3 linked regions of the Bombyx mori genome follow. The protein of the gene in region 2 binds, or shares a complex with, the protein of the main gene of each other region. Links are inferred from orthologs where the notes say so. Each region holds a gene or a part of one and is shown on either strand. Other genes may lie near its edges.

Region 1 (3,589 bases), on a different chromosome or scaffold from region 2:
TGTAGTCTCAAAATGAATTGTTTTTTTTTCAATGTAAGCATAAAAATGGGATTGTTCTGAAAATGAAACATTTTTACAATATCACATAAAATATCTTGCATTTTTACATGACTTTGTATTGTAACTAAAGTGTTATAGATATATGTAAAAAATTGCACAACGAATTTTATTTCATTATTTCTACCTATTAAATAACTCTTATAATTTGTGTACGAAAACCTAGTTATATTTCATATAGCAGTGGGAAGATATTATACTGTGAGAGCACATTTACTTAATTGATTGTCTGTATGTTAAAACTTATAATTTACTCCAACTTCAAATGACGTTTGTGGAGAATAATCAGTGATAGGCAACAGCCTGTCTTGTGTTCCTGGCGGTGCGTCCAAGAGCGACGGTAGCCACTCGCCAGCAGATGGGCTGTATGCTCAACTGTCTACACATCTTGAATTTGTCATTAATGCAATTATGTTTGGATATTTGATAAAAAATATGTACCTACACTGTGAATATCAACCGGAACAATCAAAGACACTGCTGCCTAACGTCAGTTAATGGTGTGTTTGGGAATGCAGTTTGTATTCTGTCCATAAAACATATTATTTGTGGAATAACAATGGGAAAAGTTTAAATAAAATACCATAATTTCAACAATTTTTTTTTTTTACTTTGTATTGTAAATTATGTGCATCTGATTTCACTGACACCTAAATCTGGAATTATGAGATATCTAAGACTATTATTACCTATTTATAAAATATTGTTTTTTGCCAGGCATTCAAAAAAGGTTTGTTGAGAGTACTTAATAGTAAGCAAGAGCTTCTACATACAAGGGTAATAAAAAAAGAATTTTTGTAAAAATAAATTGTTACTTCGCATACTTTCGTGCAGAAATACATAAAACTTCAGAAATGTCAGAGAAGGCTAAAAAGACTTGCAAATGGGTAGGTTACATGCTCTACCCATTTAGAAATTAAACATGTTACATACCAAATTCATTAAGAACAACAAGTGCAGCTAACCATTTCATTTAATTTGGTTAATGTAAAGAAAACTGCCAGGTCTGAGTTTACGTATTATAATAGCAAACAATCTAATGAAAGTCTTATGGTGAAGGTGGTGGAGAATGTTGTTTTGCATTAGCTGCAAGTATTGCTCCAGGTGCTGGATAGGGCCTCATTTGATAGAGTGAACCAGAGGCTGTGGTATCTACACCTGTTTTAGAATGTGTATCTAAACCTGATGTCCAATTACCTCTAGGTACATCAGAGTAAGATGCTGGGTCCATTGGATCCAAGTCATTATCTTTGACCCTGAGCCTTTTTTTGTCTCTATGATGTGAATGTTCCTTTTCTCTTTCTCGGCGATCAGGTTTCTTATCTTTTTGAATCTGCGGAACTTCCTGATCCGAGGCCTCACTGCTTTCATCACTTTCGTCGCCTTCTTTCATCAGACGTTCTTCGCGCAATTGTGCGGCAGATTCCGTAGGCACAGCACGGGGATGTCCGGGTGGTATCCACGAAACCAGATTAGTGTGCACATTCCAAAAATAATGTTGACCATAACCTTCATCAAACACTTCTTCCCATCCTGGTGGCAAGGGCCATAGCTCTAAAACTTTCTCCTTGTGTTCTAAATATGTCTCAGTCGGTACCAGTTTACCTTGCTTCCATCTTTTAATACAAAAAGTAGAACATTCATGATAAATATTACTTTTATTAGGGCATCCTCGATGGCCTTTGACAGGATCGACAAAGCCTTCCCAAGGCTCATCTTTTCCATTTTCGTTAGGCTTACTATCATAATCTTCTGCAATTATTTCTTCGTTGATTTGACCAACAGATGCGACAGCGGTGGAATCTGCATTTTGTTTCAAAAGACCTCTTTTAGCTAAACGAGCAGCTAACGCCGGCGGTAAAGGCATTTCGCTGTGTTGTATATCTTGCCTAGCGTTGATATTTCTTTGGTCGTTTTTGAGTGTTCGCTGATTTTATTCCCGTTATAACGTAATGAAAACTAGGTAAAATCACTCTTAATTCACATAATTATACATCTACAACAACAACAGGAACTTGGTAGTAGTAGCAGTTCTATTTTTCCAACTGGAAAGGCAAAGGTATCATAACCATATATCCTAATCTTTTATCACTACATAGTATAAAATAAAGTCACTTTTTCTGTCCCTATGTATGTTTAAATCTTTAAAACTACGCAACGGATTTTAATGCGGTTTTTTTAATAGATAGAGTGATTGAAGAAGAAAGTTTATATGTATAATAACATCCATTAAATAGTGGAGATATCAATAATAAATTATAGTTTCCGAAGCGAAGCGAGGGCGGGTCGCTAGTATATTTTATAATGAAAAATGATAATATGGAGGCAAAATGAAAGGAAGTCGATTAATTTGGAACACTCATCACTTGGCATGAAATTAAATAAAATGAGATATGGGATGAAATTTAATATCGGTAAAATGGTGTTTATTTAATGACTTTTAGTGGACTTTCTGGAGAATCCCGAGAAGCTACAACATGAACTTGGTTTCATTGTGGTTTCATTTCAAATTTATTTTTAATTGTACAATGGTACAGGCCAAAGAAACAGCTCATACAGTTTAAGTACTTTGTTGTAGAAGGTCAAAACACTTAATCTAAAGGAAAAGTGACATGAATGTTAATAAGAACTAAGCCTATAGCGTTAACTCTTTCCTTCTTTAGAGTTCAAAAAGCTTTCACAAAAAGTAAAATTGACAGCATTATTCAATCACATTACTCTGATACCTCTGCAAAAATGATTCAATCTAGGTTATTGTCATTATAATTCAACTAGTTTCTTAGTTGAGAACAATATGATGACCTCGAGCAGGGAAAGATGGCAGGTCATCGCAAACGTATACATCAAATCTGCCCTCCCCAATACTATTTAACGATTACGAGTAAAGCATATTTTATATCCGTTTGGGAATGTTATTCTAACCGTGTATCTGTATACCTAATATATTATACTGTTTCTGGATGTTTCTGAAAAACAAATTAATTACATCACTTAAGTAACCCGCAATTGGTCAAAGGTTGAAATTCACATCAGGTATTTTTTTAATTCCTTGTACTTCATGCAAATCTTCATCTATTCCAATCCCAAATCTTTCCCAAGTCCCTGACTCACGATACGACTGAGAATTACCAGTTTCTGTCGCAAAAAATTTTTAACGGTGGCGGTCTGACAAGGCAGTTATACCAATGCAACAAACACTTCGAAGTTTTTTTAATTTATTGCTTAGTTGGGTGGACGAGCTCACAGCCCACCTGGTGTTAAGTGGTTACTGGAGCCCATAGACACCTACAACGTAAATGCGCCACCCACCTTTAGATATGAGTTTTAAGGTCTCAGTATAGTTACAACGGCTGCCCCACCCTTCAAACCGAAACGCTGCATCACGGCAGAAATAGGCAGGATGGTGGTACCTACCCAGGCGGACTCACAAGAGATCCTACCACCAGTAATTACGCAAATTATAATTTTGCTGGTTTGATTTTTATTACACGATGTTATTCCTACACCGTTGAAGTCAATCGTGAACATTTGT
Region 2 (3,759 bases):
TATTTTTATATAAAAAAAGTTACATTACTAAATTTATGATGACTATGATGTCAGATATGATTACAAATTACTAGACCATTCAGGTGGAACATTATTTTAAATTAAACTAATATCTGTATTTGGTAGAGTAATCTTTCGGTGAGACAACAAGACCTCGTCCTTTTCTTGCCCCTCTGTACACAGTTTCAATAATATCAATCATCTCCTGCTTGTCTTCGAGAGGCCAGTTGATTTTATTGTTGTTGCCAGTCCCCAAGTCAATCATTATGTGTTTGTTGCGGAAGAAGAACATCACTGTGCATGGATCGTATAATTCATACCTAGAAATAAGTTTAAATAATATTATTATAGGCCTTGCTTAGTCATTTTATATACTAGACCCTTTCTACTAGACTAGAACTTTCAACCTTTTTTACTTAATGATGTATTAACATACTCTATATATACATGACACCCTTAAATGCAAAGATTTATAGTTGGGAGTGATGGTTGTTGGTATTTACATCACTCATATGTAATACTGTTGTATGGTTAATATTTAATAAACAATTGTATATTTAACCAACATGTATCCCTGAGATGCAATTTCCCAGATCACCTTAAATAAAAATTGAAATATCGTATTTCTAATTTTCACAACACACTTGACTTGCAACATTCCAGTGATCAAGAACTGCTGTTCTACTCTAGTCTTAAAATCAACAATTTGAAAAAAATTATTAACAATGTAGATAATGAAATTCATTTACTGTATGAACCAGACTTATTAAGAATTCCTAGAAAACTCATAGTTCTTTGCTTCTTCACTTATGATACTTTTTTAATAATTAATAAAACAACAAATTTAATAATACAACATAATTTCCTTAAAACACTGGAGGTAGGAGGACTTGTGTATTCCACAAAGGTTTTAAGAAAACCTATCAAAATCTTAATTTCAGAAATAAATTTAGAACAAGTAGTTTTACGGTATACTTACATTTTATTAAAATCTGGAACTTCTGTAATGTCAACTAAATATATGACAGCAAAATTTTTTACTTTTTCCGCAATGCTGTATAATACTTCATCCATTTTCATACATGTTGGGTCCCAGTCGTGTCCAAACCTTATAACCTAGATATGTAAATTAGAATTAATTACATTTAATATAGTTGAATCATAGGGCAAGACAATTAGGCCACTAATTAAATAACTATTAACTGTTTTGGCTCAAAGCATTTTGTTAGTTCCTTTAATTCAAAATCTATTGTTTTTTATACTAGAAGGTTGAAGGTCTTGGTTTCTACTGCATTTATATACTTTAACAAATACCTATTGATGTAAGGTTAGAATATAATTATTATTTTTAGTCTTCAGATACTAAATCTCAGATTTCTACATTCTATGAATCTAGTTAAAACTCACCACTACACGGTCTTCTTCTGATAGAATGGCCTGATCTACTTGCCAACCATTGTGTAGATGTCCTAGCATATAACTCATTTTGCAAATAAACTACTTTACGTATTATTTCAAACAAACGATTATTCCTGTATTCTTTTTTCTGGAAATTGCTATTGCTATGAGCAAAATATAATCGTGTTGTAGGACCACTGAACAAATATTGATATTATTTTGCTCACTGAAATTTGCCTTTCACATCTAAGACATTCCAAAGTTATTTTATTCTCACATTTTGTTTCTCGTCACTGTTCACGTTTTCTATAGAAGTGTGTTCAAAAAGTTTAGAGCAGGCGTTGTCTTTTTTGTTACTTCATAACAAAAAGAATGTTCTGTGAAATAGAGAACTTTAAATTTATAATTATTTAATAATATGTAGGTATTAAGATATGACTATTCTATGAGTAAATTTACAAACACTGACTTTTACCAGGTCATAAAATACCTTAAAAAAAATCACAGACCACAGTATGACGTATGACAGTAGCAGTTCCATTTTCCAACAAGAAAGGCGGAGGTATCAGTCCATACAGCGTAATCTTTCATGGAATTATTCTGTTATTTATATCAATTTAATATGAAGTTAATAATGATATGGATGAAATGAGGTGAAGTTTATTTATTTGAGGCTTTAATGTTAATCATATATTTTATCGTTACAACTCTTATAGGTACAACAAGGTATTTAAATTAAATTATATAGGTATAGGATATAGGTTATAGGATTTAAATTAAATAAAATTAATAATTTTGTGCAGCGACCGGCGCGGCGCGTGCGCGTTATTCAATTTTTCTTTATCGACCCTCCGTATTTTTACGAATCCTGCGAGGCGTCGCGGCGTCGGTCGCACGGCGTTGTTCGACACTTTAGGGTTCCGCTTAGCGTGCGGGTGTTGTAACGTAATGTTACAACTGAAATCGTCTGCAAAATAAAAAAAGAAAATAAAAAAAACCTTAAAACAAAAGTATTTATGTTCAAAGCAGTTATTTTATCGATTGTACCGCTGAGGTGACAACAATAGTTCCCACCTCCCCCCGAGACGTAGGTTCGGCTGGCGCAGACACTGCGCAGCCGCTGCGCCGGCAGTCGTCACTAGAATCGACATCAACCCCACGAAAAGCACAGCGGTGCTCTTCAAAAGGGGTCGCCCTCCGAACACCACGCTGAGCATCCCCCTCCCGACTAGGCGCGTCAACACCTCCGCCCCCGCCATTCGCCCAATCACGATGTTCGACCAGCCCATACCGTGGGCCCCGAAGGTCAAATATTTAGGCGTCACCCTCGACAGTAGGATGACATTCCGCCCTCACATCAAGACGGTACGCGACCGTGCCGCCTTCATTCTAGGACGTCTCTACCCGATGATATGTAGGCGAAGTAAAATGTCCCTTAGAAATAAGGTGACACTCTACAAAATTTGCATACGCCCCGTCATGACCTATGCAAGTGTAGTGTTCGCTCACGCGGCCCGCACTCACTTAAAATCGTTCCACATTATTCAATCCCGTTTTTGCAGGATAGCCGTCGGAGCCCCGTGGTTCGTCAGGAACGTCGACCTCCATGACGACCTGGACTTAGAGTCCATCAGTAAGTATCTACAGTCGGCGTCGATGCGCCACTTCGATAAAGCGGCACGACACGAGAACCCTCTCATCGTGGCCGCCGGTAACTACATTCCCGATCCTGCGGACAGAATGGAAAGCAGTCGACGTCGCCCAAAACACGTCATCTCGGATCCTCCCGATCCACTAACGGTGCTTCTAGGTACTTCAAGTACCGGTCACCGTTCTCGTCGAACCCGTCGCTTGCGACGAAGGGCTCGACGAGTAAATTAACTCTCAGACACAGCCCACTGAGTTTCTCGCCGGATCTTCTCAGTGGGTCGCGTTTCCGATCCGGTGGTAGATTCTGCGAAGCACGGGTCTTGCTAGGGTTCGTGTTAGCAACGTCATCAGGTTTGAGCCCCGCGAGCTCAACTACAAAAGTTAGGGTTACGCTGAAATAGCCTCTCAAGGCTCTCAGCGTAGGTAGAAAAAAAAAGTGTGTGTGTCCGCTCCGACGCACGACTGGAGTTTACTGGATATAAATATAAATTTGTGTCAGTTGAATACAGTAAAATATGGAAGTTACGTATTCTAGTGAGAATGATCCGGGAGTTGCGGAACACGTGGATGCGGTAATTAAGTAAGTCTATATAATTCACTTTTACAATTAATATATAAGTTGTCCATTCACTGATAGAAGGAATTGTTTATATTTAATAAGCTTTATTAATAAATGATTTGTAGCGGGTTATATTCGGGTATCAACCCACT
Region 3 (3,712 bases), on a different chromosome or scaffold from region 2:
TCAAATTTGAGTTTCGTCGAAGTTTTTCATATACGCTCTGCTGACTTATTCTCTGTTCTATTATGAGTAGCTCCGTTAAGCGTTACAGAAATATAAATTAATGTACCTACCCTCCTGTCTTATGTTTTAGAGAAATTACTTTATAAAAAGCGTGATTCTGTGCTCATGTAGAAAAACAAATCCTAAGATAGCAGACAGATTTAAAATAACAAATTAATTAACTTAATAATAATATGCCGAAAATTAAACATGATATATTTATAAACTTAGTTTTTCAAATGAATTGAGTTATAAAGATAGTCGTAGGTAGCCATGCTGAAAAAATAAACAAATAGAACAAGTGAAGGACACATCACTTAGTTATCTATCTATCTATCTATCTCTTAGGCTTATGGCGTTTCCTTTTAGATTTCGCCAATGTCAAGTGTATTTAATACTCTGCTTTCTATAGCGGGCTTCGTGAACGAGCAAGGTCACAGATATTCACTAAGAATTAAGTGAGTAGCTAAGAATATTTGATGACAGGATCTCTGTTGATTTACCTAAAACAAATAAGACGCACACAATATATATTATACAGGGGTTAGTTCGATAACAGACAGACACTTAGTTACTGTTAAATACAATCGTATTGGGTTATGGTGCTTTTAATGTTTAAAACATTGTTTTACATAGTTGAGAACAAAAACATTATTTCAAACCTAAGAAAATTATTAAAAAATCTATTCACTTCAGTCTGCATTGTACCTACCTTTCACGTTCAGAAACATTCAAATCGGCACGCGTCGAGATTTTGACATTGACGTTTGACACTCACGAATGTAAACACATTGATTGATTGATTGTATGTATTTTTATCATACCATTAATTCATATTTCATTGTTTCGGGAGCATAGTTGGATATGGATCAAGAAACAGCGAAAAAGCTGCTAGTGGAAGGGGGCACGTTTGTATTCTTGAGAGTCCCTTCAGAAACCCAGTTTGGCATCGATATGCAGTGCTGGAACACGGAGGAAGATTTTCGTGGCGTTAAAATGATTCCTCCAGGCTTACATTATGTTCATTACTCTGCTGTCAGTAAAGGTACTGGCGATATTGCACCTAGGTAAGTGCGTTTTATATATACTTTAAAAAAACAATCCTAGTACTATACAAGGAATTCAAGTTTGGAGGTTGTTTTTGGAATCTTATCACTTAATTTTAATATGGTAATTCGATATCAGATTTACACTCAGAATTTACATATTCGAAGCACAAAATATATGTATACAGCTTATTAAGTTTCTTCGTGTATTGTTATTGAACTTATATGAGACTGATATCAATATTATTGTTACTTGCATACCTAAATAAATTACTTTTCTTGATTAAATTCCAGATCTGGCTTCATGCATTACTTTCACAAAAAAGAATTTCTTGTGAAAATGTGGGACAAAAAAACTGAAGATTTGAGCAAGGAAGAGATCAGTGATGAGAGCATCCAACGTTTGAAAGATAATTTATTTAATTTGGACCGACATCTTGCTCCATATCCATATGAAATATGGCAGAAGTGGAAGTTACTGTCTTCACAGATCACTGGTTGGTGTCTTCAATTAAAGAAATACTTGCCCTACAAATCTTGAATGAACTTAGTCTTGTTGAAGTTGGTGGTAGTTCACATTATGAGCCTGGTCATATTGGCATAGTGGAGCATATTGAGACTGGTCACTGTCCTCGCCGAACCCGTCGCTTGTGATGAAGGGCTTAATGAGTAAAATTAACCCATAGACACAGTCTACTGAGTTTCTCACCGGATCTTCTCAGGGGGTTGCGTTTCCGATACGGTGGTAGATTCTGCGAAGCACTGCTATTGCTAGAGGCAGTGTTAGCAACACTCCTGGTTTGAGCCCCGTAAACTTAGGCTTGTATCAGAAAAAACAATTCATACAAGAAACTAAAATATTGTGTTATTCCAGAATCTTATATCAATAATCTGTACTAAGTTTAATTTCTATTGTCAGCTGAACTAGCAGCAAAATTGGCACCAGAAAGTGGAATGATAAGAGCATCAGTTGAGCTTTTATCGATGACTGATGCAGAAAGACCAAGAGGAGTCAAGTCTTCATCTAGTTCAATAAGTCAGGAGAATGAAAAATCTCCCACTAAAGAGGATTTCAGTGAAGAACAGATTGCCGGACACTCAAGTGCTAAGAGAGCTAAAAGAATCACAAGGGAAGAGAAAGAAAAGTCATTGTTACCAGATTTGAAACCAGTTCCAGGTAAATTAATGAAACAAAGATAAATGTAAATAATATTTTTCCCCTATATATCTACTAAAATAAAACTACACGCCTAATTAATTACTGATTGTAGGACCTGTGAGGCTGCATGGATAGGTTATCACCAGCCTGCATATTTCTGCCGTGAAGCAGTAATGTGTTTCGGTTTGACTATACCTTAGAACTTATATCTCAAGGTGGGTGGCGGCATTTATGTTGTATATGCCTATGTGCTCCAGTAACCACTTAACACCATGTGGGCCGTGAGCCTGTCGTCTGTCCACCCATGTAAGCAATAAAAAATATAAAAAAAAATAAAAGAATTCTAAAATGTGAATCTTTACAGGAGCTGCTATGAGATTCACAGAAATACCTCAAGATAAATATCCACCGGATGCAACACCAGAGGAGATCACGAAACATTACTTAGATCAGTCATACTCATTAGAGCTCATGATAGCACAGCATAATGAGTAAGTATCTATTTTTATTAACTGTTAGTATTTTAAGAGAAATTTGAGGGTATCTTAATATAAAATTTTGTTGACTACATACTACATTCATATGTTGATTACATATACAGTTGAATGTCTATGATGGATATTTTAAGCATTGTTCAGTGCCGAAGTTATCAGGAAGCTAAAGTCAAGTCTCGACTCTTGACATGATTAAATGCACAAAAGCCAAAATCTAGAATTCTATATACGTGTTTTATTTTTCAGACCTCTACACATCATAGGAGAACTGCAATTCGCATATTTGTGCTTTTTGATTGGGCACTCCCTAGAGGCTTTTGAGCACTGGAAGAGCCTCGTCATACTCATATGTTCGTGTGACGAGGCCATACACAAATACAGAAGTGTTTTCTTTCACTTCATTAGGACTATTGAGGTGCAAATCGAAGAGATGCCCGAAGATTTCTTAGCCGATATAGTGATGAATAAAAATTTAGTATACAAGAAACTCCGTGAGTTTTTCCGCACGGCTTACGTAAGCAAAGTCGACGGCAGACTTTTGACGATGATTGAACGCTTCAAAGATAACCTGACCGACAAATTGCAATGGGATTTCACTGGTCTAGACGCTGACGATGAAGACGAGAGGCCGGTCGTAGTGAAACTCGACGATGGAACTCAATAGATTATATTTAATGGCTCCTCTTCACAATCGGCCATGATAGGCCAACAAACAATCGTCCATCATCGCCGCCATGATGGGGCAACTCTCCACACAATCGTGAACGTTTATTTACTGACTGTCTACTGATATGTTAAGACGTCTAGGTATCGATGATGGAAATCGAGGAGATCGCGGCTGCGGCAATATTTTTAGTTCTATATAGTCTATATAGTCATTTAGTTAATGTGCGCGAAAAAAGAATCGTGAAAACTTTTTTTTCTTAAATCCCTCTTGTAGACAGACGGAGTCGCCCATGGACTTCAGCAATGCA

Evidence for each region.
Region 1: the proteins of thioredoxin-like protein 4A (region 2) and polyglutamine-binding protein 1 are in contact, whole or in part, in a crystal structure (PDB 4BWQ), measured with the Homo sapiens proteins. The link is inferred for Bombyx mori from reciprocal best matches to the Homo sapiens genes TXNL4A and PQBP1. Residues at the interface, in NP_006692.1 of Homo sapiens: Gly11, Trp12, Val14, Asp15, Ile18, Asp68, Phe69, Met72, Tyr73, Glu74, Met82, Phe84, Asn87, His89, Met91, Gly97, Asn98, Asn99, Asn100, Lys101, Leu129; in NP_001027553.1 of Homo sapiens: Gln241, Gln242, Arg243, Pro244, Tyr245, Pro246, Ser247, Pro248, Gly249, Val251, Leu252, Ala254, Asn255.
Region 3: thioredoxin-like protein 4A (region 2) and protein AAR2 homolog share a complex: the UniProt entries of both Homo sapiens proteins name them as parts of the U5 snRNP complex. The link is inferred for Bombyx mori from reciprocal best matches to the Homo sapiens genes TXNL4A and AAR2.

Annotation. Positions count from the first base shown.
Region 1 is NC_085131.1:6,063,881-6,067,469, forward strand, and holds polyglutamine-binding protein 1, read right to left. Parts: upstream 2,204-3,589; 5' UTR 1,925-2,203; coding exon 1,106-1,924; 3' UTR 646-1,105; downstream 1-645. UniProt on the Homo sapiens protein: Intrinsically disordered protein that acts as a scaffold, and which is involved in different processes, such as pre-mRNA splicing, transcription regulation, innate immunity and neuron development.
Region 2 is NC_085120.1:13,294,761-13,298,519, forward strand, and holds the start of thioredoxin-like protein 4A, read right to left. Parts: upstream 2,296-3,759; 5' UTR 1,486-2,295; coding exon 1,408-1,485; intron 1,117-1,407; coding exon 980-1,116; intron 321-979; coding exon 107-320; 3' UTR 1-106. UniProt on the Homo sapiens protein: Plays a role in pre-mRNA splicing as component of the U5 snRNP and U4/U6-U5 tri-snRNP complexes that are involved in spliceosome assembly, and as component of the precatalytic spliceosome (spliceosome B complex).
Region 3 is NC_085115.1:3,919,365-3,923,076, reverse strand, and holds the start of protein AAR2 homolog, read left to right. Parts: upstream 1-800; 5' UTR 801-903; coding exon 904-1,106; intron 1,107-1,379; coding exon 1,380-1,582; intron 1,583-2,004; coding exon 2,005-2,262; intron 2,263-2,608; coding exon 2,609-2,735; intron 2,736-2,984; coding exon 2,985-3,402; 3' UTR 3,403-3,712. UniProt on the Homo sapiens protein: Component of the U5 snRNP complex that is required for spliceosome assembly and for pre-mRNA splicing.